4 linked regions of the Anolis sagrei genome follow. The protein of the gene in region 1 interacts with the protein of each later gene in a pairwise test. Links are inferred from orthologs where the notes say so. Each region holds a gene or a part of one and is shown on either strand. Other genes may lie near its edges.

Region 1 (7,065 bases):
GAAAGTGCATACAAAATTTCAGAACCAGTTTAAGACCCAGATGGTGATTACAAAAGCCACACAGAACTGATGCACATTAAGGGGTTTTTCATGTGCTTTTGTGGCAGTTTGTTGCCTGGCCTCAGCAGTTGGAAGCTAGCTGTGTGTATGTGCTTGCATATAATTCATTTATTTATATCCCGTGTAGCGAAATGTCTAGGTTTTGGGGTATGTTTATTAATATTGGGATATATGGGCTGGTTAGTTAGGGGGTGGCTAGAAGCCCAGGCCATGGTGACATAACTCCCCAGGCAAGAGAGCAAGGGCCGGAGCCAACTGCCACTGAAAAAAAAGAATGTTGATTTGAAAAGGGTCAGTTGGTGGCTGGATGAGCCCAAAGGATGGTTGCTTATAATTATGTGGAACTAGACCAAACAGTTTAAGCTCTAACAGGTAGTCAGGGAAAGAAAGGCTGCACTAAGTAGTGAGCCAGGTATTTGTTCTCCAGTGTGGAGTAGTTAAGAGTAAAAGCCAAATCTGAAGTAACAGGAGTGAGACTGAGAATAGTTTATAAGTCTAAACTGCAGATACTAAAGAGACAGAAGAAAATCTGTTGTTAAAAGTGTAACAGTTATATGTTTTTGGAAGAGTCAAGAATTAAGTGTAACAATAATAAGATAATATGTAACCGCCAAGCATTGTGAACCTGAGAAATCTTCAAACAAATGTTTATATTCAGTTCAGATTCTGAGAATTCAGGTTTATTTATTTAAGAGAAGATTACTCAAAAGAAAAGAAGTTGCAGATTTTGTGAAGTCAAAGATAAACTGGTTGCATTGGATTACACATACTAAAGTGAAATAAACAGGTGTCTTAGAAATATCCCTCTCATATAAGCCTCACCCCCAAATAAACAAAGCCTCATCCTCTACATCAGTGTTTCTCAACCTTCCTAATGCTGCGACCCCTTAATACTGTTCCTTATGTTGTGGTGACCCCCAACCATGACATTATTTTCGTTGTTACTTCACAACTGTAATTGTGCTCCTATTATGAATCCTAATGTAAACATCCGATATGCAGGATATATTTGCATTCACGGGACCAAACTGGGCACAAATATACAATAATACAACCAAATTTGAATACTGGTGGGATTGTGGAGAGGATTGATTTTGTCATTTGGGAGTTGTAGTTGCTGGGATAGTTCACCTCCAATCAAAGAGCATTCTGAAATCCACCAACAACAGAATTGAACCAGATTTGGAACACACACCTCCCATGAACAACAGAAAATATGGGAAGGGTTTGCTGGGCATTGACCTTGAGTTTTGGAGTTGTAGTTCATCTACATCTAGAGAGCACTGTGCACTCAAACAATGATGGATCTGGACCAAACTTGACACAAATACTCAATATGCCCAAATGTGAATACTGGTGGAGTTTGGGGAATATAGACCTTTACATTTGGGAGTTGTAGTTGTTGGGATTTATAGTTCACCTACAATCAGAGTATTCTGTTCTCCACCAAGGACAGAATTGGGCCAAACTTCCCACACAGAACTCCCATGACCAACAGAAAATACTATGTTTTCTAATGGTTTTTGGCGACCCCTCTGACACTCTCTCGCGACCCACAGAGGGGTCCCGACCCCCAGGTTGAGAAACACTGCTCTACATAATTGGTGGCAGCTTCATGAGTTACAGAGATACTTTCATTTCATCCCACTTTATCTCTCCAGATGGGAGACTCAAAGCAACTCACAATCAAAAATATTACAAAAATATACAAAAATAAAACTGTATCATTATATATTGTTTTATATTATCAGTAGTAATTATAATTAATATATTGTTATTATATGCCTTCCCAGAACAAGGACTCCCAAGCAATATGTTCCAAATGCACTTTATGAGAGAGTTAGTACTGTCTGCACGCCCACCTATCTTTAAAATATCCAACCTATTTCCCTGGACATGCCCAGCATTTTAAAATTTTAATTCTTACATTTGGCCCTACCACAGGTTTTTAATTGTGTCGTGTCATTATTGTATTGTTTTGCTTTGTTATGAGTTATTTATTGTTGTATTGTTGTTGTGTTTTGTGATGTATTTGGGCTTGGCCTCTTGTAAGCCGCACCGAGTCCTGCGGGAAATGGTCACGGGGTATAAATAAAGGTTTATTATTATTATTATTATTATTATTATTATTATTACTACTATATTACAATATATGATATTGTATTAGGAGTATATTACATTGTATTATATTATTATATAAAATATATTATATTATTAGCATTGCACATTAGTATTATATACTGCCATATGGTACTATACCACTATACTGCAATATTATTAGTATACCACAATATATATAATATGTGCTGTCGCATGCTGGGCCTGAAATAATGTCTGTTTACAGGACGTGCCTTCTGTATGCTCAACGGGACGCCGGGGTGCCTCAGCTGAAGGGTCCCTTAAATTTCCCAACACAAAGTTCTATTGAGGTTATAGACATCAATGCTAGGCTGTAGATCTGCCAAGCTGAAAGGTGTCCTTTAGTTTCTACACGAAGGCTGTAGGAACTGTCCTGTTGCCCCAGCAAAGGCTGGCTGTATTCCTTCAGCAAAAGCTGTGGAACCTTTCCTTTTCCCCCAGCAGAGCTGTGGATCTATTTCTTTACTCCCCAGCAAAAGCTGTGGAACCTTTCTTTTTCCCCCAGCAAAGCTGTGAGAAGTGAAGCTTTTGTGCAGGTGGGAAAAAGAATCCCACACGTTCTGCTTTTAGGCTTCAAACAGTGAGACTGAACAAAATCCCCCCTTCCCTCCAAAACCATGGGAAAAGGGGCGGGTCTAAAGATTAACAATGATTTTTCAGGTTGCTGGCCCTATGATTGCAACCTGAGGGAAGCTACCTTATTGCAAAATGCATGGCTTAAATAAATTCATGCAAACTAGCAGTGCAAGAAAAGGAATTCAAATCTCCTGGCACTGTTGTGCCAGCACATAATACACTACCATTATTATACTATTAGTATTATATATTGTTCTCTCTCAATCTCACACACACATATACATACGCCCGTATGTATACACACAAATTTATTTATTTATTTGCTTTACTTCTATACCGCCTTTCTCAGCCGAAATGGCGACTCAAGGCGGTTTACATAGTAAAGGTTAACACAACAACATCAAAAAGGCAATTAAAAACACATTATACAAACATATCAAGTCAAAAACAATCATTATCATAGACGTCTGCATTAGTTGTTCACACACTATTTGTTGTTCACACACAGACAGGCACACACTGAAATATAATTATGGGTAACTATATGCATATAGTACATGTTGTTGTTCATTCGTTCAGTTGTCTCCGACTCTTCGTGACCTCATGGACCAGCCCACGCCAGAGCTCCCTGTCGGCCGTCACCACCCCCAGCTCCTTCAAGGTCAGTCCAGTCACTTCAAGGATGCCATCCATCCATCTTGCCCTTGGTCGGCCCCTCTTCCTTTTTCCTTCCACTTTCCCCAGCATAATAGTCTTCTCTAGGCTTTGCTGCATATAGTACATAATTATGTTTAATTGGGATATACTGTGTGTATGTGTACACACACACACACACACAAATTTGGAATATTCAAACACAAAAATATATTTCCAAAGAATACAAATATTCACTGACATCCCCATATAAGTTCATATACAGATAGGTACACACTGAAATATAATTAAAGTAACTCAGGCCCCTTCCACACAGCTGAATAAAATCCCACATTTTCTGCTTTGGACTGGAATATATGGCAGTGTGGACTCAGATAACCCAGTTCAAAGCAGATACTGTGGGATTTTCTGCCTTGATATTCTGGGTTATGTGGACATGCCCTCAGGCACAACTCCAGAGCGCGTTCTGCAGATCACCTCAAGGAAAACGAGGCAGATGGAATCCATATGTATTTGAAAACTACTTTCCTAGAGACTTCCGGGTGTCAGAACTACAGTCCCCATGATGCAACGCGGCTCAGAGAGCGGCGGCTTCCGGTCTCGCAGCCCAAGCGCCTGAAATGCCGATGAGCCGGGTCAGGGTGGAGGGTGATCTCGCGATCGCTTCCGGGAAGAGGCTCTTTCGCTTCTCGAGGCGCTCTTCCGCTGGAGGAGGGGCCGATGAGCGCCTGCGGGGATGGACGAGGACGGGCTGCCACTCGTGGGTTCGGGCATCGACCTCACCAAGGTACCGGCGGCTGCAGGGCCCTGGTTGGCCTCTCAAGCCAGGCCTCGCCTTCCCCAGTGATGGATGGGCTCCGGGACTAAGCCAGGCAGGGTCTCAACCAGGCCTGGGCCAACTGGGGCCTTCCAGTAGGCTGTTAGGAATTGTGGGAGTTGAAGTCCAAAACACCTGGGGGGCCCAAGTTAGGCCAAGGCCTGGTCTATCATGTCAGTTGCCCTTCCTGTCTTTCTCTTTCTCCACTTGTTCATATTCCTTTCCTTCAGAGTCACTTTGATCTCATGTTTGTGTATTGTTTACAAGTGTTATGGCAGAAACACAATGCCCCATATTTATTGCAGGCTGCATTTTATCTTGTTGATACAGGCCTGAGCAAACTTCGGCCCTCCAGGTGTTTTGGACTTGAACTCCCACAATTTCTAACATCCTACTGGAGGGCCCAAGTTGGCCCAGGCCTGCTCTATCAAGTCAGTTTCCCTTCCCTTCTTTCTCCTTCTCATATTCCTTTCTTTCAGAGTCACATTGATCTTATGTTTGTGTATTGTTTACAAGTGTTATGGCAGAAATACAATGCCCCATATTTATTACAGGCTGCAGTTTATCTTGTCGATACAGGCCTGAGCAAACTTGGGCCCTCCAGGTGTTTTGGACTTCAACTCCCACAATTTCTAACATCCTACTGAAGGGCCCAAGTTGTCCCAGGCCTGGTCTATCAAGTCAATTTCCCTTCCCGTCTTTCTCCTTCTCATATTCCTTTCTTTCAGAGTCACATTGATCTCATGTTTGTGTATTGTTTACAAGTGTTATGGCAGAAACACAATGCCCCATGTTTATTGTAGGCTGCATTTTATCTTGTTGATATAGGCCTGAGCAAACTTGGGCCCTCCAGGTGTTTTGGACTTCAACTCCCACAATTTCTAACATCCTACTGGAGGGCCCAAGTTGGCCCAGGCCTGGTCTATCAAGTCAGTTTCCCTTCCCTTCTTTCTCCTCCTCATATTCCTTTATTTCAGAGTCACATTGATCTCATGTGTGTGTATTGTTTACAAGTGTTGTGGCAGAAACACAATGCCCCATATTTTATTGCAGGCTGCATTTTATCTTGTAGGTACAGGCATGGGCAAACTGGGGACCTCAAGAGAGATATTGACAAGCTGGAATGTGTCCAGAGGAGGGCGACTAAAATGATCAAGGGTCTGGAGAACAAGCCCTATGAGGAGCGGCTTAAGGAGCTGGGCATGTTTAGCCTGAAGAAGAAAAGGCTGCGAGGAGATATGATAGCTATGTATAAATATGTGAGAGGAAGACACAGGGAGGAGGGAGCAAGCTTGTTTTGTGCTTCCTTGGAGACTAGGACGTGGACAATGGCTTCAAACTACAAGAGAAGAAATTCCATCTGAACACGAGGAAGAACTTCCTGACTGTGAGAGCTGTTCAGCAGTGGAACTCTCTGCCCCAGAGTGTGGTGGAGGCTCCTTCTTTGGAAGCTTTTAAACAGAGGCTGGATGGCCATCTGTCAGGGGTGATTTGATTGCAGCATTCCTGCTTCTTGGCAGGGGGTTGGACTGGATGGCCCATGAGGTCTCTTCCAACTCTTTGATTCTATGATTCTAGGTGTTTTGGATTTCAGCTCCCACAATTCCTAACAGCCAGTAGGAAGTTGAAGTCTAAAACACCTAGAGAGCCCAAGTTTGCTATGTTATTACAGGTTTAGCATTCATTATCCTGAAATCCCAAATACTCCAAAGTCTTGTCGAAGGCTTTCATGGCTGGAATCACTGGGTTGTATGTGCTTGGCTAAAAACTGTCAGGCCATCAAATGCTAATCAAGGTGGCCAATTTGAACATTCACATCTACCTCCAACAGACAAGAGTTTTTTCTCCCACCCTGGACCTTCCATAGATATATAAACCCAATGTTCCTAGTTTCCAACAAACCTCACAACCTCTGAGGATGCTTTCCACAGATGCAGGCAAAATGTCAGGAGAGAACATGGCCATACAGCCCGAAAAACCTACAACAATCCACTCCAAAGTCCTTCGGCTGGGAAAGTGACACCTTTCCTTTCATAGAATTTGGGCCATCCAGTCCAACCCCCTGCCAAGAAGCAGGAAAATTGCATTCAAAGCACCCCTCACAGATGGCCATCCAGCCCCTGTTTGAAAGCTTCCAAAGAAGGAGCCTCCACCACACTTCGGGGCAGAGAGTTCCACTGCTGAACGGCTCTCACAGTCAGGAAGTTCTTCCTCATGTTCTGATGGAATCTCCTTTCTTGTAGTTTGAAGCCATTGTTCCGCTTCCTAGTCTCCAGGGCAGCAGAAAACAAGCTTGCTCCCACCTCCCTATGACTTCCTCAAATATTTATACATGGCTATCATGTCTCCTCTCAGCCTTCTCTTCTTCAGGCTAAACATTCCTGAAGAAGATGGTTCTTGATGGTTCAGTGTACACAAACTGTTTCATGCACCAAATTATTAAAAAAAAATGCATAAAATTACCTTCAGAATATGTGTATATAAAATATAAATGCATTTCTGTTTATACTTGGATTTGGTCTGAAAGGTGTTTCCTTCTGCTATGTGTGCATATACAAATAATAATAATAACTTTATTTGTTTCCCACCCCATCTCCCCAGAGGGACTTGGGGCGGCTTACAAGACAACAACTATACAAACACGAGCAGCATAGAATGTACAACAAAAATCAAAACAGTACAAATGTTTGCCAAAAGAAATAAAAAAAACCATAACAATTGAAGTTTAACATAAAACATGTAAAATCAAAATAAAATAAGCAGTAAGCATAGCCAAAGATTTAAAGTTTGAAACCATAGTATCCAAGTACAGGCATTCC
Region 2 (6,875 bases), on another chromosome or scaffold:
TGTGTCTCTTTTCTTTTTCCATTTGCCAGAACATTTAGCAAAGATCTCCTGCATAGCCAATCAGAACCAATTGTGTTTCACTCATTCATTTCCAGGAATCCTCAGTGGTTGGCTTGCAGTAAAAAGAGAGATGTTGTCCGATTGCTTTAGTCTGCTAATAAGAGGGGAAAATAGTCCCAAAGAAAGGTCTTTCTAAAAACATGTCACCATAAAATTGACATTCAATCTTGTTGAACAGGAGGGCATTTTTGCAGTCTCCACTTGTGTTATATTACTTGTTTGCCATTGTTGTGTGTCTTCGTATTGCTTCTTACTTATGGTGACTCAAAGGGTAAACTTATCATGGGTTTTTCTTGGTAAGATTTGTTCGGAGGAGGTTTGCCATTGCCTTCCTCTGAGAGAGTATGGTATGCGTACAGCTGGTTTCCATGCTGAGTGGGGATTCAGACTGTGTTCTTCCTGAGTCGAACACAGAAACCACTGCATCACAGAAACCACTGTAAGTACTCATACTGAATCAATCATCTGCTATTTATTTAATTGTCAGCACTCACTTAAGTGAATAAATGTTGATGTCCTACAAAAACAATTACTAGCATACCTTCTGGAGGGGGGTGTTATTAATCCACCTGTTTATACAGTCCAGTGTTACTTATCTGCTGCCTAATCAATCAGCTGCTCTAAAGCTGCACTGCCTGGCTATCTGAGTGACGTTCAGTAAAGAACGTCTTTCAGATAACCACATGAGATATTATTGACAAGTCTTGCTTGTGTTGACTCTTAGGTTGGGTCAAGTAATAACTTCTTCAACATATTTGAATGAACTTTGGTTTTTAATTTGAGACTTGTCCAATTCAAGTTGCATTCCTTGAAAACCACTGTTTATTAAAATCTGTTGAAGAAGTTATTACTTGCCCCAAGCTAAGAGTCAACACAGGCAAGACTTGTCAATAATACCGCATGTGAGCGCTCCAGCTGGAGGTCAGCTGTGACCAGCAGTACTGCAGAATTTGAAGAGGCACGAATGGAGGGCGAAAGAGAGAAATGTGCCAAAAGGGAGGCGCGTCAAGCCAATTCCAACTGGGACCGCCTTCCACCTGGAAACCAGTGCCCTCACTGTGGGAGACGATGCAAATCAAGAATAAGACTCCATAGTCACCTACGGATCCACCCTGGAGGATTATCCTACTCTGACAATGAGAGATCGCCTAAGTAAGTAAGGCTCCTTAGGTATTACTGACTTGCAACTCACATCACTCTTAGCTGGCATGGCCAGTGGTGAAGGATTGTGGGAGATGCAATATCAATACACTTGTAGACCCACAACTGCTCATTTCTGTTTAATAGGAAGATAATAATAATAATAATAATAATAATAATAATAATAATAATAATATTTTTAAAAACCCTTTATTTATTATCCACCCTATCTTCCCGGGAGGACTAAGGGTGGTTTTCAACAAAAGATGGCAAACATTCATTGAGCCAAGACATCAACTAGAGTTCTAGTGATTCTCCTCCTCCTCTGTTTTTTCCAATAATAATAATAATAATAATAATAATAATAATAGCTCCCATTTTTTACTTGTATTAGCAATAAAATAAAATATCTGCCTGCTCCAGGTTATCCTGCTACCATATTTGAGCAATGTATGTATATGCTGTAGCTCCCAAATGTATAATAAACCCTTAGCAATTTATAGATCTAGATTTTTATTGGTTTTTTACATTTCCCCCAAAACAGCATTTAATACTAGAGAAGTGTCCTGAAAATCACAAGATAAACTTTGAGATGGGGCTAGCAATGTGCAAGGATAATTTAAACACGTGGCATAAAACTGTAATTGAAGACTGAGTTTTTCATATTGATTGAATCATTGTCACAGGTTGACAATGTATGCAGAACAACCGAAACTTAGTCCTTTTGTATTTTCATATGAGCAACACAAGCAGAAGGAAAACATAAATTTTACTCTTCTGCAGCAGAATTCAAAAACCAGTAACATTAACACAAACTTGCAGTATTGCATCAATACAGTCACAGTCCCTCTGGAGTAACACACTCAAGTATAGTCCTTACACTTAACTCATGCAATTTTTCCCACAGAAAATATGTATCTTCCAATTTTCCTTTCTTGGACATGGAGACAAGCAGAAAAGATAAACTTGCCTGCATCAAATAAGCCAGGAGCGAACGCAGGGTAAGATCAGGAGCAAACATTCAGTAAGCCCAAAGTTGAATTACAAACACTTCCCAGTTATACCCCTTCGGGAGTGGCCTAAATTGGCTGACCTTAAAAATCCCATTCACCCAAGCTGTATATTGTAATTCACCAAGGTAAGTTTTTTTTTCTATTAACACACACACATACCTGGTAGTGATCTCACTAAAACCTACTTTAACAGTGAGTCTGTTAAAGGCTCCTCCCTAAACTACAAATCCCAGAATTCTGCAGGAATTCTTATTATCATGGGGGAAAGGGTCTCTAATGAAACTTTATCACCAATCCTTGTATCCACGAGCCACATTTTTCAAGATCCAACTATCACAGGGACAGAAAGTGAGGTGAAATCTTCTGAACGGGAACAGACAACAAAACAAATGTCATAAGGGTGTTAACGCTTCCCTATGCTATCCAAAGATAGAGAGATAAATAGATCCTGGATTTACACTTTAAAAACGTGCCAAGTTTACATACAAATTCAACTTAAGAACAAACCTACAGAACCTAACTTGAGGGCTACTTGTATATACTAGCTTTGGATAGCATAGGAAAGGGTGAACATCCCTGTGGTGTTCGTTTTGCTGTCTGTGCCCCTGATCAGAAGATTTCACCGCCTTTTCTGTCCCTCTCATAATTGAATTTGGCTTGTTGTGGAAACAAGGCTTGGGGATAAAGCTTCAGTGAAGGAACCTTTTCCCCGTGATAACTCTTCCTGAGGGAACGTTGGGAAGATTTCTCTCACTTCCTGTTGTCTCACCTCCATTCTTAACTAGGAGTATGCAAGTTGTATGTAAGTCAGATGTATGTAACTCAGGGATTACTTGTCTCCATGTTGAGACAATGGCTATGTATCACTGAGGGGATAAACAGGGGCCGAGCGACATGTCCTCCAGTGAATAAGTGCTGCCAAAAGCCCACGGCTCCCCTTCCTTCCTTCCTTCCTTCCTTCTTTCCTTCCTTTTTCCCTTCCTTCCTTCCTTTTTCTTTCTTTCTTTCCTTCTTTCTTAATTTCTTTCCTTCCTTTTTTCCTTCCTTCCTTTTTTCTTTCCTCCCGCCCTTCCTTTTTTCCTTCCTTTTTTCTTCCCTCTCGCCCTTCTTTTTCCTTCCTTCCTTTCCCCTCTTCCTTCTTTCCTCCCTCCCTCCCTCCCTTATTTCTTTCCTCCCTCCCTCCCTCCCTTCCTTCCTTCGTTTTTCCCCTTCCTTCCTTTCCCCCCACCTTTCTTTTTCCTTCCTTCCTTCCTTCCTTCCTTCCTTCCTTCCTTCCTTCCTTCCGTCCGTCCTTCCTTCCGTCCTTCCTTCTTTCTTTCCTTCCATCCTTCCCTTTTTCCATCCTCCCTCCCTCCCTCCCTGCCTTTCTTCCTTCCTTCCATCCATCTTTCCTTCCTTCCCTTTTTCCTCCCCCCTCTTCCTTTTTCCTTCCTTCCCTCCATCAGTCTTTCCTTCTATCCTTCCCTTTTTCCTCCCCCCTCTTCCTTTTTCCTTCCTTCCTTCCATCAGTCTTTCTTTCTTTCCTTCGATCTTTCTTTTTTTCCTTCCTTCCTTCCTTCCTTCCTTCCTTCCTTTTTCCTCCCTCCCTCCCTCCCTCCCTCCCTCCTTGGAGGAGCCCTGCCTCGGCTGCTCTCTGAAGAATGCTGAGAAGCGACAGTTGGAAAAAGGCGGGAAAACAGCAAAGAGGGTTGGGGATGGAAAATGGCTGGAGCTGAAGGAGAAAATCGTAGCATCACTATGGAGGGAAATGATCCCGGTGAGACTGTACAACTGGAGAAATACACAATAGAAACCTAAATACACATCATGGGAACTAGAGAAGGTATTCAGAACTGGTGGCCATATTCTCCTCCTTGGGCCCCGTCACCTGACCAGGAATTTAAAAGCTAGCAACTCCAATATAAGAGCTAAGACTTCACAGCCAGTAGGAATTGTGGGAGTTGAAGTCCAAAACACCTGGAGGGCCAAAGTTTGTCCATGCCTGAACTAGAAGGACATTATTCATTTTCACGAAAATTATAATTAAGAAGCAGGTGAACACATGTAGAAAGAGAGTTTCATATTTTGGGCACTGCCAAGTCGCTCCGGGGTACAGAAACAACTGTAGAAAACAGAGGCCCTGAAGGTGCCCTCAGTTGCTCGGGTCCTTGGAATTTAATAAAAGTATTATTGTTATGTTCATTCTTTACAGTGTGGTTCTCAGCCTCATAGCAATATGAAGTAGACCACAATTTCCAATATTACAGATGGATTGCACTGAGAAGGGCGAGCCCCCGGTGGCGCAGTGGGTTAAACTCCTGTGCCGGCAGGACTGAAGACCGACAGGTCGCAGGTTCGAATCCAGGGAGAGGCGGATGAGCTCCCTCTATCAGCTCCAGCTCCTCATGCGGGGACATGAGAGAAGCCTCCCACAAGGATGATAAAAACATCAAATCATCCAGGCGTCCCCTGGGCAACGTCCTTGCAGATGGCCAATTCTCTCACACCAGAAGCTACTTGCTCCTGTATAAGCAAAGTTATACAAAGCCTATACGATCCCTAGATTTCAATGTGTCTGGTTGAAGAAAAAATTGGGTGACAACAATAAATTCTGTTTCTGCTTTTTCTCTCTCTCCAGATCCCTGGGACTTTTCATCAAAAATGGAGGAGATACTGTCACTTGTGAAACAAATGCAGAATGGTATTTTGAACTTAGAAAGATGACGAGAGTAATGTTCAGGTGTCGGATCGTAAAGGAATGGGAAGAAGTGTTGTCCTTCATGCCAATCCCTTACTATCTGCACAGCCCATGTACACTTTTAACACTGGCTGAAATAAAATAACCGGCCACCACATCTGGGGGAAACAGGCAGCAGGCTAGCTTATGTGGCACACAGAGGATGCCATATGGTACAGGACTCTCTCCTAATGCATTGTGATGGCTTCTCTGCTTCAGCATCTGTCCCCCAAAACAGCCATCTCACTCTGCCATCTGCCTAATCATATAGTCCTACTAGAGCATCTGCCCTTGCCATGTATGCCTGTACACTGGTAAGAGGCAACTCATTTAGCCCAAGAGACTCATACAAACATCATGTTGCATCATTTATCTTGTGCTTCACGGACAACATACACCACTTTGTGCATGGTGAATACATATATAATGACTTGAAAATTGTTTAGAAGTCAGCAGTGGCTAATGGGTCCCATGTGGCTCTTAGAAAATTAATGTTTGGCTTCTGAACAGAGAGCAAGAAAGCACAGATTTGAGCAGAAATCAGTAGAAGGGAAAGTGGTACGTTGTTTAGGGGCTGTGGCAAAAATATAATGGAATGGAGGCTGAGGTCAGATGAAAGTTCTTGGAAGAAAAATTAGTAGTTGATCTAGGGAGAAACAAGAAGTATGGTATAAAAATTATTAGAGTTTTATTTATATTGCTTGTGATAAGGATTCTGAGTTAGATACTGGCCCTTGATAAATAACATACAATTATATGTGAGGGCAAGATCAGAGTATTTTTCTATTAGCCATTATAGTTGTCTTAGGAAGTAGGTGCTATAAGGTAAAGAGTTTCATCACAATGTTGGGAGGACAGAGCTTTAGAGTCCAGGCACTCTGTGGCTAGCACTGCTCATGCTAGCCTGGTACCTTCATGTGTGGTGAAGGATGTCATTACATTGCAAGTGCCAAAGATTTTACTGGGTTATTGTAGGTTTTTTTGGGCTATAGCCATGTTCTAGAGGCATTCCCTCCTTACGTTTCGCCTGCATCTATGGCAAGCATCCTCACTACCTCTGAGGATGCTTGCCATAGATGCAGGCAAAACGTCAGGAGAGAATGCCTCTAGAATATGGCCATGTAGCCCAAATAAACCTACAACAACCCAGTGATTCCGGCCATGAAAGCCTTAGACTATACAAAGATGTTACTATCTGTTTGATTGGCCGTTGTACCTGGAAGGAAGATGTGTGTCATTGTTCCTTTCACCTCAGTTGGCAAAGTGACTTTGACATTGAGATTGGTACAAACTGTAACTTTTAATGTATTTTAATGTATTGCTTTTTCCTTAACCATAGCATGTATAATTCAGTTTTCATTTGATTTCTACTTGATTTTATAGTCGAGAGTTTGGAGCCAAGAATTGAAGACCTAGTTAAAAGGATCAATACATTGCAGCAAGGTAAAAGAAAAAGGCAGGGATTAACTATATTATTTACATCTCAAAATTAAGCCTTTGCTAAGTAAGCTATATTTGTAGCAGTGGTTACCAGGTCTGCACATCGCGATGGCTCTTGCAGTGCAAAAGCTGAATGTTCCCAGATGTGGTTTCCAAAAAGAGAGTAATCTGCAATCCTTATGCCATTCCCCCATTTTAAAGAAAGAAGCAAAACCAACATTTTGAGGTATCTCTTCTTACTCCTGTTCCATTCCTGAATGCATAGTTTCCTCCCATCTCCTCCTACACACATATGTTATAACTCAATGAGGATCATATTTGTAATTAATATTTTTCTAGTCTCTGTTCCCTTATTCAAATTATACTGAATAGACTTTATAGTAAGGATAGATAAAGCATAGCCCTGGATGGCCCTCCTGCATGATTGTACATAATATCCCCAGTCAATTTTTTCAGATGTGGACTTCTTCAGACTTTTTCAGATTGCAACTTCTGTGGGGGAAGGA
Region 3 (6,921 bases), on another chromosome or scaffold:
TAACACAGAGAATTTAAAATGGTGAATAATGCGTGCAGAGCCCAGTAAGGTGGCCTTCTGCAGCTGGCATATGAAATTTTGTCAGCGCAGATTATGTTTAAGTGCAAGCCAAGGTCTGTAGGCACTGCACCCAGTGTGCCAGTCACCACTGTGACCACCTTTAATAATAATAATAATAATAATAATAATAATAATTATTATTATTATTATTATTATGAACTGGACACACGCAGAGCCGGATGATTTGGAAAGAAAAACAAGAAAGCTGATGACAATCCACTCCTCATGACACCCGCGTAGTGATGTTGACAGATTTTACCTGCCCAGAAAATCAGGAGGCAGAGAGAGGGCTTCTGCAAGGGAAACAAATAGTAGAAGAAGAGAAACACACACTGGCAGATGATGTGAAAGGCAGTCAAGAACCAACATTGAGGAAAGTTAGTAGTAAACTGCTTCAAGTGCAAAAGACAAAGAGGGAATACTGTAAAAACACAATCCAGAGCAGAAGAGAAAACTGGCAAAAGAAGGCTCTCCATGCACAATTCCTGGCATAAATTGAGAGCCAAATTGACAAAGTAAAATCATGGCTGTGGCTCACAAATGGAACTCTGAAAAAGGAGACAAAGGAGGGCCTGATTCTGGCAGCCCAAGAACAAGCCGTTAGAACCAAAGCCATCAAAGCCAGAATTGAAAAGTTGACGACAGATCCCAAGTGTAGACTCTGCAAGGAAGCAGATGGAACAATCGATCCCATCCTCAGCTGCTGCAAGATCACGCAGATAGACTACAAGCAGAGGAACAACACCGTTGCTCAGATGATCCATTGGAACTTGTGCCACAAACACCATCTTCCTGTGACAAAGAACTGGTGGGATCACAAGCCGGAAAAAGTTACAGAGAATGAACACATCAAACGCCTCTGGGACTTCTGGATTCAGACAGACAGAGTTTTGGAGCATAATACTCCTGACTTCACGATCATGTTAAAAAACAAAGTATGGATTGTCGATGTTGCAATCCCAGGCGACAGCAGGATTGAAGGGAAACAACTGGAAAAGCTGATACGATATTAAGATTTAAAGATCGAACTGCAAAGACTCTGGCACAAGCCAGTCAAGGTGGTCCCAGTTGTGATCGGCACACTGGGTGCAGTGCCTAAAGACCTTGGCCTGCACTTAAACACAATCGGCGCTGACAAAATTACCATCTGCTATCTGCAGACGGCCACCTTACTGGGATCTACACGCATTATTCACCGATACATCACACAGTCCTAGACACTTGGGAAGTGCCCGACGTGTGATCCAATTCAACAATTACAATATACCTTGTAATATACTTACAAGGTATATATTACATATTGTATGTAATATATACCTTGTAAGCCGCTCTGAGTCTGCTGTGGACTCATCTTGTTGTGTTTCAAATAATGATGATGATGATGACGATGATGATAATAACCAGACATCACGATTGTGGAAAAGAAAATGTTATTGATGTCGCCATACCAGGTGACAGTCGCATTGAGGAAAAACAACACGAAAAATTCAGCCACTATCAAGACCTCAAAATCAAACTGCAAAGGCTCTGGCATAAACCAGTACAGGTGGTCCCAGTGGTCATTGGCGCACTGGGTGCCATGCCAAAAGATCTCAGCAGGCACCCAGTGCGCCGATGACCACTGGGACCACCTGGAGTGGTTTATGCCAGAGCCTTTGCAGTTCGATTTTGAGGTCTTGATAGCGACAAAATCACGATCTGTCAACTGCAAAAGGCCACCTGACTTGGATCTGCGCGCATCATTTGAAAATACATCACACAGTCCTAGATGCGTGGGAAGTGTTTGGTTTGTGATTTTGTGATACGAAATCCAGCACATATATCTCATTTGCTGTGACATACTGTGGTTTGGTGTCAGTATAATAATAATAATAATTCATACCCCACCTTAATAATAATAATTTATAATTTATTATTATCTTTATTTATACCCCACCTTTCTCCCCATGGGAGAAATGTTATAATGTAATGCAATGTAATAATAATATGATATTATAATTATATATTTATATTACATCATCATCATTTAATAACTTATTAATCGCCCTCCATCCGAGAATGCTCCATTCTAATATTACTAATAATATTACGATATAGTGGTATGGTGCAATATAGCAATGTTCAATGCTGATATTGTACTATGCTAATAATATAATATATTGTATGTATGTATATATATACATATATATCTTATAAGCCAATCTGAGTCCCCTTCGGGGTGAGAAGGGCGGCATATAAATGTCGTAAATAAATAAATAAATAAATGGATCTGGGTTGAAGTTGGCCCACATTCACACCTGGAACAACTTTAAAAACTGGCAAGAATTGATAGAGGACGATGGGAATTGGAGTCGATTCAAACCTGTCATGGTCACCCATAATAGATCTGGACCAAACTTGGTACGCATGCCCTCCTTTACCCAACATAATGGGTTCTTCCCTACAGTGAGTGCCTACTGCCCTCAATAGGGATGTCAGACTGCATCACCCATCATCCCCAGATGCCCTTGTGCCTTGGGAAAGGTAGAATTGAGCTTTGTGGCCTCCCTTTCCCAGAATAAATGGATCCTTCTCTATAGAGGAGGGGTTCCTAACCTTTGGTCCTCTAGGCCTTTTGGACTTCAGCTCCCACAATTCCTAACAGCTGCTAAGTTGGCTAGGATACCTGGGAGTTGAAGTCCAAAACACCTGGAGGGCCCAAGGTTGGGAACCCCTGCTCTATAGAGACATTGGACTGCACCACCCATCAGCCCAGACCCCTAGAGCCTTGGGAAAGGCTGGAATGGGCTTTGTGATCTCCTGTTCAAAGCCTGGATGGGTCCTTCCCGGCAACCAAGGCCTCTTGTATTCAATTGGGGGCTTTGGACTGCACCCTCCACCATCCCCAGGCTCTTACCTGCCCTCCAGGCCCCCTCCCCGCGCTGCCACGGCGACAGCATCAGCCCCGCCCCATTGGAACGTACCATTCGTCCAATGGGGGGAGGAGACAGAGAATCCAAAGGAGCGCTTTGCATTGTGGGAAGTGTAGTTCCCATTGGAAGAGTCCAAATCAGAAAGAAGGGGAAGGGGGATCGAGAGGCCCCCTTTGTCCCAATGAATCATAGAATCATAGAATCAAAGAGTTGGAAGAGACCTCATGGGCCATCCAGTCCAACCCCCTGCCAAGAAGCAGGAATATTGCATTCAAATCACCCCTGACAAATGGCCATCCAGCCTCTGCTTAAAAGCTTCCAATGAAGGAGCCTCCACCACACTCCGGGGCAGAGAGTTCCACTGCTGAACGGCTCTCACAGTCAGGAAGTTTTTCCTAATGTTCAGATGAAGCTTTGGAGTAGAAGTGCACAGGATTTTTCCTATAATAATAATAATAATAATAATAAATTAATAATAATGGGTTGTTGTAGGTTTTTCAGGCTGTCTGGCCATGTTCCAGAAGCATTCCCTCCTGACGTTTCGCCCACTTTTATGGTAGGCATCCTCAGAGGTTGTGAGGTCTGGGTTGTTGTAGGTTTTTTCGGGTCTAGAGGCATACTCTCCTGACGTTTCGCCTCAATCTATGGCAGGCCTATTGGAACTAGGAAAAAGGGCTTATATATCTGTGGAATGACCAGGGTGGGACAAAGGACTCTTGTCTGCTGGAGCTAGGTGTGAATGTTTCAACTGACCACCTTGATTAGCATATAATGGCCTGACAGTGCCTGGGGGAATCTTTTGTTGAGAGGTGATTAAATGTCCTTGTTCGTTTCCTCTCTGTTGTTGTGCTGTTGTAATTTTAGAGTTTTTTTTAATACTAGTAGCCAGATTTTGTTCATTTTCATTGTTTCCTCCTTTCTGATGAAATTGTCCACATGCTTGTGTATTTCAATGGCTTCTGTGTGTAATCTGACATGGTGGTTGTGAGAGTGGTCCAGCATTTCTGTGCTCTGTTTCACCATTGCCTCACCACCAGCTACTTTCAGTGGGACAATGAGTTCTATGAACAGAAAGATGGAGTAGCTATGGGGAGCCCCCATAGCTAATTTGTACATGGAACACTTTGGAAAACAAGCCCTGAAAACAGCAACAAAAAAGCCCACTATATTGAGACCCTATATTCAAGGGTCTGGAGAACAAGCCCTATGAGGAGCGGCTTAAGGAGCTGGGCATGTTTAGCCTGAAGAAGAGAAGGCTGAGAGGAGATATGATAGCCATGTATAAATATGTGAGAGGAAGCCACAGGGAGGAGGGAGCAAACTTGTTTTCTGCTTCCTTGGAGACTAGGATGCGGAACAATGGCTTCAAACTACAAGAGAGGAGATTCCATCTGAACATGAGGAAGACCTTCCTGACTGTGAGAGCCGTTCAGCAGTGGAACTCTCTGCCCCGGAGTGTGGTGGAGGCTCCTTCTTTGGAAGCTTTTAAACAGACGCTGGATGGCCATCTGTCAGGGGTGATTTGAATGCAATATTCCTGCTTCTTGGCAGAATGGGGGTTGGACTGGATGGCCCATGAGGGCTCTTCCCACTCTTTGATTCTATGATTCTATGACTCCCCCCTGGGCACACAGAGGACTGGGCGACTTGGAAGGCGCTGAACAGACTGCGCTCTGGCACCACAAGATGCAGAGCCAATCTTAAGAAATGGGGCTACAAAGTGGAATCCACGACATGCGAGTGCGGAGAAGAGCAAACCACTGACCACCTGCTGCAATGCACCCTGAACCCTGCTGCATGCACAATGGAGGACCTTCTTGCAGCAACACCAGAGGCACTCCAAGTGGCCAGATACTGGTCAAAGGACATTTAATCAACTACCAAGTTTGCAAAATTTGGGTTTTTTTTATCTGTTTGTTTGTTTTGTTCTGTTAGAAATGTAATACAATGGTACGGTTGCTGATGACACAATAAATAAATAAAAAACCTCTCAACAAAAGATTCTCCCAGGCACTAAGAAGCCACACCTAAAAACTGTCAGGCCTTCAAATGCTAATCAAGCTGGCCAATGGCAACATTCACACTTGCCTCCAACAGACAAAAGTTCTTTCTCCCACCCTGGACATCATTCCACAGATATATAAACCCATTTTTCCTAGTTTCCAACAGCCCTCACAACCTCTGAGGATGCCTACCATAGATGTGAGCGAAACGTCAGGAGAGAATGCTTCTGGAACATGGTCAGACATCCCGAAAAACCTACAACAACCCAGTGATTCCGGCTATGAAAGCCTTCGACAACACATTATTATTATTATTATTATTATTATTATTATTAATATGAAACATAATAAAATAAGTATATAAATATAATATAAAAATAAATATATAAATTATATATATATATATATATATATAATATGAAACATTAAAAAATAAAAATCATACAATAAATATGAAACATAATAAAAATACATTCCATTATTGCTTTGAAAAATTTTAAGAAATAATAATGAAGCCCTTTGGTATAATTTTCCATTAAAATATTGTAAAACCATTAAAATATTGTAAAAGTATTGTATTTCCCATTCAAATATTGTAAAATATTTGAGGATCCCTCAAAGACATCAAAGTGTCTGTGCGTATTTTTCGTGCTTTTAAATATATATATATAACATGTCTTTATTAATGTTTGAAAAGAAAAGCAGAGGGCCGATAAAGTGGATTTGAATGGCGCTCGATAGCTCTGCCTTCGACTCCTTTTGCCTGGCTGGGGAGGAAGCGAGGGAACGAGGCGGATGACGTCATACGTAACGTCATCCTCGTCCGTTTATGATTGCGTAAGGAGCGCTGCGACGCGATGGCATGCCGGGATTTGTAGGCGGAAGTTTCTGACTGGCGAGGGCGGCCTGTTGCTGGAGGCTAGAGCTTCGAGCTCCGCCCTTCGGTTGGGCTGGGGACGCGGAGGGCGCGCCGACCCGCTCGGGAGACGGTTCAGTTCAGCCCGGGGAGTTTCGGAGGCCTCGGAGAGCGACGGCCGCGACCCCTTCGGCGTTTTGAGGAAGGAAAGAGGCGGCGGGTGAGGAGGACGCCCAAAGCGAGGCGGGCGGGCCCCGGAGAGCGGGAGGGAGGGGAGGCATTAAAGGGTGGGATTGATTTTGTGTTTGGTGGGTCAGTGCCTGGAAAGGAAGTGGAGCGGGCGGGCGGGGATAATTGATTTTGGAGCCCTGTTCCATTTTCAGGCAAGGTTAGAAAAGGAGAAGAGGAAGGGTATATTAGAGGTTCTTTAATAGGGACAGGTGGACGTTCAAGAGGGAGGACTTTAGATGAATGCACAACAGGTAGAACTTTAGGTGCATGTCCAGCAGGTAGACCTTTACATGAATGCACAACAGGCAGAACTTTAAGTGCATGTCCCAACAGATAGAGCTTAGGTGGATGGTGAGCTTTGGGTGGATGTCCAACAGGTAGAACATTAGGTGAATGTACTAAAGGTAGAGCTTTAGGTGGATGTACCAATGATAGAGCTTAGGTGGATGGCGAGCTTTGGGTGAATGTCCAACAGGCAGAGCTTTGGGTGAATGTACCAAAGGTAGAGCTTTAGGTGCATGTCCAACAGGTAGAACTTTAGGTGGACGTCCAACAGGTAGACCTTTAGATGAATGCACAAGAGGTAGAACTTTAGGTGGACGTCCAACAGGTAGACCTTTAGATGAATGCACAAGAGGTAGAACTTTAGGTGGACATCCAACAGGTAGAGCTTTAGATGAATGCACAACAGGTAGAGCTTCGTGTGGATGTCCCAAAGGTGGATGGTGAGCATTGGGTGAATGCCCAACAGGTAGAATTTAGGTGCATGTCCAACCCGTAGAATTTTGGGTGGCTGTTCAATAGGTAGAGCTTTAGGTGGATGTACCAATGATAGAGCTTAGGTGGATGGCGAGCTTTG
Region 4 (7,693 bases), on another chromosome or scaffold:
ATGCATTCCTCAGTTTCACCATCATAAAATTAATGGTACCCACACGAATATATGTATCTATCTTTATATTCAAAGTCAGTTTTCGTATGTCTATTTTCCAAATTGAGCCCAACTTTCAGACAGCACTGTAACTATCACCAACAATGGATATGAACCAAGCTTGGGACGCTGAACCCTATGACCCACTTTACGTCCTGGTCGGGTTTGGGGGAAGGTGGACTACGGAAAGTAGGATTTGTAGTCCTGCAACTCTCTTACAAGACCACTGCGACTGTCACAAATGATGGACATGGACCAAACTTGTTGCACAGACCCCCCATGACCCATCTCACATCCTGATGAGGTTTGGGAAAAGCCAGACCATGGATGATGGGATTTGCAATATCTTCACCCACTTTCAGAGACTTCTGTGACCAATGATGGGCCTGGACCAAACTTGGGAAACAGACACCGCATGGCCCACTTTAGGTTTGGGGAGGGTGGACTATGGATAATAGGATTTGTAGTCTCTTACAAGACCACTGCGACTGCCACAAATGATGGACCTGGACCAAACTTGGTACCCAGACCCCCCATATGTTCTGGTGAAGTTTGGGGGAACACAGAGAGATATATCCATTTATTGTCGAAGGCTTTCATGGCCGGAATCACTGGGTTGTTGTAGGTTTTTCCGGGCTATATGGCCATGTTCTAGAGGCATTTTCTCCTGACGTTTCGCCTGCATCTATGGCAAGCATCCTCAGAGGTAGTGAGGTCTGTTGGAACTAGGAATATGGGTTTATATATCTGTGGAATGACCAGGGTGAGACAAAGGACTCTTGCCTGCTGGAGCTAGGTGTGAATGTTTCAACTGATCACCTTGATTAGCATTTGATTACCTGGCAGTGCCTGGAGCAAACTTTTGTTGAGAGGTGATTAGATGTCAAGGGAACCACTGACCGCATAGGGATGCTGATCAGCAAACACAACATACAAACTATCTACAGACCCACCAAGAAAATCCAACAAATGCTCCATTCAGCAAAGGACAAGAGGGATCTTCTCACTTCTGCAGGAGTCTACCGTATACCATGGCCATCTGTCAGGGGTGATTTGAATGCAATATTCCTGCTTCTTGGCAGGGGGTTGGACTGGATGACCCATGAGGTCTCTTCCAACTCTTTGATTCTATGATTCTATGCAGCTGTGGACAAGTCTACATAGGGACCACCAAACGCAGCAGAATTGCCCAAACACGAATCAAGGAACATGAAAGGCACTACAGACTACTTCAACCAGAGAAGTCAGCCATAGCAGAACACCTGATGAACCAACCTGGACACAGCATATTATTTGAGAACACAGAAGTGCTGGACCACTCTCACAACCAACATGTCAGACTACACAGAGAAGCCATTGAAATCCACAAGCATGTGGACAATTTCAACAGAAAGGAGGAGACCATGAAAATGAACAAAATCTGGCTACCAGTATTAAAAAACTCTAAAATTACAACAGCAAAACAACAGAGAGGAAACAAACAAGGACATCTAATCACCTCTCAACAAAAGTTTGCCCCAGGCACTGCCAGGCAATCAAATGCTAATCTGGGTGATCAGTTGAAACATTCACACCTAGCTCCAGCAGACAAGAGTCCTTTGTCCCACCAGGTCATTCCACAGATATATAAACCCATTTTCCTAGTTCCAACAGACCTTACTACCTCTGAGGATTTATTTATTTGTCGTGTCAGGGCAACCAGTCAATTATATTACATTTCTAACAGAACAAAGCAAACAAGCAGACAAAATACAGAATTTGTGAGTTTGGTAGTTGATTAAATGTCCTTTGGCCACTTGGAGTGCTTCTGGTGTTGCCGCAAGGAGGTCCTCCATTGTGCATGTGGCAGGGCTCAGGGTGCATTGCAGCAGGTGGTCAGTGGTTTGCTCCTCTCCACACTCACATGCCGAGGATTCCACTTTGTAGCCCCGTTTCTGAAGGTTGGCTCTGCATCTCGTGGTGCCAGAGCGCAGTCTGTTCAGCACCTTCCAAGTTGCCCAGTCTTCTGTGTGCCCAGGGGGGAGTCTCTCATTTGGTATCAGCCATTGGTTGAGGTTCCGGGTTTGAGCCTGCCACTTTTGGACTCTTGCTTGCTGAGGTGTTCCAGCGAGTGTCTCTGTAGATCTTAGAAAACTATTTCTAGATTGAAGTCGTTGACGTGCTGGCTGATACCCAAACTGGGGATGAGGTAGAGATGTCTCTTCCTTGGTCCTTTCACTATTGGCTGCTACTTCCTGGCGGATGTCAGGTGGTGCAATACCGGCTAAACAGTGTAATTTCTCCAGTGTTGTAGGCTACCAGTATTAAAAAACTCAAAATCAGAAAAAAAACTACAGAGAGTAAACAATCAGGCACATCAAATCACCTCTCAACAAAAGATTCCCCCAGGCACTGCCAGGCAATCAAATGCTAATCAAGGTGGTCAGTTGAAACATTCGCACCTAGCTCCAGCAGGCAAGAGTCCTTTGTCCCACCCTGGTCTTTCCACAGATATATAAATCCTTTTTCCTAGTTCCAACAGACCTCACTACCTCTGAGGATGCTTGCCATAGATGCAGGCGAAACGTCAGGAGAGAATGCCTCTAGAACATGGCCATATAGCCCAAAAAAACCTACAACAACCCAGATATATCCATAGATGGATAGATAGATAGATAGATAGATAGATAGAGATAGATAGATAGATAGGGATCCCAAGAGGCCTACATACTCCCAGACGACCAGAGGCCTCCGTTCCTGCCTGTGTCTCCATAGCAACCAGGTCTCCGTGGCGACCGGGTGGCCCCGCCCCCACCCTCCCTCCCTCCCACCCATTCGGCCTGCCCGTCCCGTCCCCATGGCAACCCCGAGACCCCCTCCCCCTTCTCACCACAGCGGTGAGTTCCTGCACGGTCTTGGAGTCTGCCTCCGCCATGGCACTGTCCTCTCTCGCTTCCGGCCTCTGCCCCGCAGTCCCCGCCTCGCTCTCGGGAGATCTCGCGAGATCCGGGAAAGGGGGAGGGAGGGGGGAGGGAGGAAGAGAGCGGTGGTGCATTCTGGGAAGTTAAACATGAGCCAACAATGTGATGTGGTGGCAAAAAAAGCCAATGGGATTTTGGCTTGCATCAAGAGGAGCCTAGTGTCTAGATCCAGGGAAGTCATGCTACCCATGCTCTATTCTGCTTTGGTTAGACCACACCTGGAATATTGTGTCCAATTCTGGGCACCACAATTCTAGAGAGATATTGACAAGCTGGAATGTGTCCAGAGGAGGGTGACTAAAATGATCAAGGGTCTAGAGAACAAGCCCTATGAGGAGCGGCTTAAGGAGCTGGGCATATTTAGCCTGTAAAAGAGAAGGCCGAGAGGAGATATGATAGCCATGTATAAATATGTGAGAGGAAGCCACAGGGAGGAGGGAGCGAGATTCCATCTGAACATTAGGAAGAAGAACTTCCTGACTGAGAGAGCTGTTCAGCAGTGGAACTCTCTGCCCCGGAGTGTGGTGGAGGCTCCTTCTTTGGAAGCTTTTAAACAGAGGCTGGATGGCCATCTGTCAGGGGTGCTTTGAATGCAATATTCCTGCTTCTTGGCAGGGGGTTGGACTGGATGGCCCATGAGGTCTCTTCCAACTCTTTGATTCTATGATTCTAAGCAAGGCAAATCTACCTGCATCTGCAGAACCCAATGCATGCCTGTCTCTCTCTATCCGTCACAACAAAAAAGGCCGTTGCTAGGTGGAGTGGCCCTCTGAGATGTCACGGGAGTAGCTGTTCCTGGCTGAAGTTGCCCTCAGGGGTGTCACTAGGAAAATGACGTGTGAACGAGGAGAATAAGCAAGAGGAGCTGTTGCTAGATGAAGTGTCACCACCCGCGGTGTCTCTGGATTGCCTGTTGCTGGGTGGAGTGACCCTCTAGGGTGTCACTGGGAAAGGAAGGTGGCGCCTGTGAGAAGAAGGGAAGGAAGGGATGGCTACTAGGTGCAGTGGCCCTCCGTAATGTCACTGGATTGGCTGTTGTTAGGTGGAGTGGCCCGCTGAGTTTTCACGGGACTAGTTCTTCCTGGGTGAAGTGGCCCTCGGGGGTGTCACTAGGAAAGGGACGCGTGAACGAGGAGAAAAGACAAGAGGAGCTGTTGCTTGGTGACGTGTCCCCCGCGGTGTCTCTGGATTGGCTGTTGCTGGATGGAGTGACCCTCTAGGGCAGCGTTTCTCAACCTGGGGGTCAGGACCTCTGGGGGGGTCGCGAGGGGGTGTCAGAGGAGTCGCCAAAGACCATCAGAAAGCACAGAATTTTCTGTTCTGTGTGGGAAGTTTGGCCCAATTCTCTCATTCAGAAGGCTCTTTGATTGTAGATGAACTATAAAGCCAAGCAACAACAACTCCCAAATGTCAAGGTCTATTTTTCCCCAAATGCCACCAGTGTTGACATTTGGGCATATTGAGTACTCGTGACAAGTTTGGTCCAGATTCATCACTGTTTGAGTCCACATTGCTCTCTGGACGTAGGTGAACTACAACTCCCAAACTCAAGGTCAATGCCCAACAAACCCTTCCAGTATTTTCTGTTGGCCGTGGGGAGTTCTGTATGCCAAGTTGGGTTCAACTCCATCGTTAGTGGAGTTCAGAATGCTCTTTGAATGTGGGTTAACTATAAATCCCAGCAACTACAACTCCCAAATGACAAAATCAACACCCCCCACCCCCCACACACATCACCACAAACCCCATTAGTATTCAAATTTGGGAGTATCGGGTCCAGTGAATGAAAATCCATCCTGCATATCAGATATTTACATGGCGATTCATAACAGTAGCAAAATTACAGTTATGAAGTAGCAGCAACAAAAATAATTTTATGGTTGAAGGGGTCACCACAGCGTTAGGAACTATATTAAGGGGTCGCAGAATCAGGAAAGTTGAGAACCACTGCTCTAGGGTGTCACTGGGAAAGAAAGGTGGCGCCTGTGAGGACAAGGGAAGGAAGGGACGGTTACTAGGTGCAGTGGCCCTCCATGATGTCATCAGATTGGCTGTTGCTAGGTGAGGTGGCCCTCCACGATTTTGCTGTACCCCCCTTTGTAAAATGGACCCTCTCTAGCTCCCCCTAGTGATCTCCGCTCGGATAATGGAGCAGTACCAAAAGGTGATGTGTATGAGCAGGTTAAACTGCTGAGCTGCTGAACTTGCTGACTGAAAGGTCAGCGGTTTGAATCCGAGGAGCGGGGTGAGCTCCCGCTGTTAGTCCCAGCTTCTGCCAACCTAGCAGTTTAAAAGCATGCAAATGTGAATAGACTTGTGTCCGACTCTGGTGCTCGCTTCCATTTCTAAGCCAAAAAGCCGGCGTTGTCCGTAGACGTCTTCAAGGTCCCGTGGCCACTGGCAGGACTGCATGGCCATGGGATTTGTGTTGCTGGGATTTGTAGTTCACCTACATTCAATGAACATTCTGAACTCCACCAACAATGGAATTGAACCAAACTTGGCACACAGAACTCTCATGACCAACAGAAAATACTGGAAGGGTTTGGTGAGCATTGACCTTGAGTTTGGGAGTTGTAGTTCACCTACATCCAGAGAGCACTATAGATTCAAACAATGATGGATGTGGACCAAACTGGCCACAAATACTCAATATGCCCAAATGTAATACTGGTGGACTTTGGGGAAAATAGACCTTGACATTTGGGAGTTCTAGTTACTGGGATTTATAGTTCACCTAGAATCAAAGAATATTCTGAACTCCACCAACAATGGAATTCAACCAAACTTGGCACACAGAACTCCCATGACCAACAGAAAACAGTAGAAGGGTTTGGTGAGCATTGACCTTGAGTTTGGGACTTGTAGTTCACCTACATCCTGAGAGCACTGTGGACTCAAACAATGATGGATCTGGACCAAACTTGGCACAAGCATTCAATACACCAAATATGAACACAGATGGAGTTTGGGGGACATAGACCTTGACATTTAGGAGTTGAACTTACTGGGATTTATACTTCACCTACAATCAAGGAGTATTCCAAACCCCACCAACAATGGAATTGGGCCAGACATCCCACACAGAATCCCCATGACCAACAGAAAATACTGTGTTTTCCGGTGGTCTTTGGTGACCGTTCTGACACCCCCTTGGTGACCCCCCCCCCCCCCCGGGTCTTGACTTCCCAGATTGAGAAATGCTGCCTTAAGGCCATCCAGTCCAACTCCCTTCACCAGGGCAAGAAAACATAATCAAAGCCCTCCTGACAAAGGGCCATCCAGCCATTCACACACACACACACACGGGCACAATTCAAGGTGCTGCCTTGTAGCCTATAAAGCCCTAAACGGTTCTGGCCCCACTTACCTCTCCGAACGCATCTCCACCTATGAACCGACTAGAACATTAAGATAGTCTGGGGAGGCCCTGCTCTCGGTCCCGCCTGCATCGCAGGCGCGTTTGGCGGGGACGAGAGACAGGGCCTTCTCAGTGGTGGCCCCTCGGCTATGGAATGCCTTACCAGCAGACATCAGACAGGCACCTTCGTTGCTGGTGTTTCGGAGAAAGGTCAAGACTTGGCTTTATGAACAAGCGTTTGGTTAAACAGTGCAACCGAACATAGGAAGACGGTAAATGGAACATAGGAATGGCACAAGGATTATGAGAACGGATCTGATTTCACAGAGGCGATGTTTGATTTGTTAATTGTTGTTGATTGATGCTATTGATTTTGTTGTTGTAATTGTTGTGTTTTAATTGCATTGACATTGTTGTGATAACCTGTACCATGTAAACCGCATTGAGTCGCCTATATAGGCTGAAAAATGCGGTATACAAATAAAGCAAATAAATAAATAAATAAATATGTATATGACAGATGCAGTATCAAAGATCTGAAAGGGACCTCTAAAGAAGGACTATGATATGTTGCCTGTTCCAGAGGAGGCAAACCAGACAATCTCCACATTAACACTGGCAAAGAAACAGCAAGAAATACTGGTTACCCACAAGCATAAAAAAATTACATATATTAGAAGCCAGCACTTTCTCATTATGTTATTTTCCAGACAACCAGACTGGGCCACAGCAACGTGTGGCAGGGGACCGCTAGTATATATATAAAATGCTCTGCATAATAAGTACCTTAAAAATAAAAGAACCAATGAACGAAATCACACCAAAGTTGGCAACAAAACGTCTCACAACACAAGGAGTGACCATCACTCAAAAATTATGAGTTGTAGTTGCTGGGATTTATAGTTCACCTATAATTAAAGGGCATTCTGAATCGGGGCAAACTTCCCACACAGAACCCCCATGACCAAAAGAAAATACTTAAGGCCATCCAAACCAACTCCCTTCATCAGGGCAAGAAACGTAATCAAAGTCCTCCTGACAAAGAGCCATCCAGCCATAGATATAGATAGATAGGATAGATAGATAGATTTGATTCACACACACACACACACAGATATAGTATCATAGATTTGAAAGTGACCCCTAAAGAATCATACAATCAAAGAGTTGGAAGAGACCTAATGGGCCATCCAGTCCAACCCCCTGCCAAAAAGCAGGAATATTGCATTCAAATCACCCCTGACAGATGGCCATCCAGCCTCTGTTTAAAAGCCTCCAAAGAAGGAGCCTCCACCACACTCTGGGGCAAAGAGTTCCACTGCTGAACGGCTCT

Evidence for each region.
Region 2: the proteins of WASHC3 (region 1) and synaptonemal complex central element protein 1-like interact in binary tests that used the Homo sapiens proteins (3 or more experiments, as listed by UniProt). The two-hybrid records come from large-scale screens. The link is inferred for Anolis sagrei from reciprocal best matches to the Homo sapiens genes WASHC3 and SYCE1.
Region 3: the proteins of WASHC3 (region 1) and IFT20 interact in binary tests that used the Homo sapiens proteins (3 or more experiments, as listed by UniProt). The two-hybrid records come from large-scale screens. The link is inferred for Anolis sagrei from reciprocal best matches to the Homo sapiens genes WASHC3 and IFT20.
Region 4: the proteins of WASHC3 (region 1) and HSBP1 interact in binary tests that used the Homo sapiens proteins (3 or more experiments, as listed by UniProt). The two-hybrid records come from large-scale screens. The link is inferred for Anolis sagrei from reciprocal best matches to the Homo sapiens genes WASHC3 and HSBP1.

Annotation. Positions count from the first base shown.
Region 1 is NC_090025.1:171,511,947-171,519,011, forward strand, and holds the start of WASHC3 (WASH complex subunit 3), read left to right. Parts: upstream 1-4,042; 5' UTR 4,043-4,165; coding exon 4,166-4,216; intron 4,217-7,065. UniProt on the Homo sapiens protein: Acts as a component of the WASH core complex that functions as a nucleation-promoting factor (NPF) at the surface of endosomes, where it recruits and activates the Arp2/3 complex to induce actin polymerization, playing a key role in the fission of tubules that serve as transport intermediates during endosome sorting.
Region 2 is NC_090022.1:193,715,837-193,722,711, forward strand, and holds the start of synaptonemal complex central element protein 1-like, read left to right. Parts: upstream 1-3,852; 5' UTR 3,853-3,914; coding exon 3,915-3,969; intron 3,970-4,830; coding exon 4,831-4,893; intron 4,894-6,312; coding exon 6,313-6,372; intron 6,373-6,875. UniProt on the Homo sapiens protein: Major component of the transverse central element of synaptonemal complexes (SCS), formed between homologous chromosomes during meiotic prophase. Requires SYCP1 in order to be incorporated into the central element.
Region 3 is NC_090031.1:25,687,716-25,694,636, forward strand, and holds the start of IFT20 (intraflagellar transport protein 20 homolog), read right to left. Parts: upstream 3,020-6,921; 5' UTR 2,957-3,019; intron 1-2,956. UniProt on the Homo sapiens protein: Part of intraflagellar transport (IFT) particles involved in ciliary process assembly. May play a role in the trafficking of ciliary membrane proteins from the Golgi complex to the cilium.
Region 4 is NC_090028.1:22,965,882-22,973,574, forward strand, and holds the start of HSBP1 (heat shock factor-binding protein 1), read right to left. Parts: upstream 3,016-7,693; 5' UTR 2,954-3,015; coding exon 2,909-2,953; intron 1-2,908. UniProt on the Homo sapiens protein: Negative regulator of the heat shock response. Negatively affects HSF1 DNA-binding activity. May have a role in the suppression of the activation of the stress response during the aging process.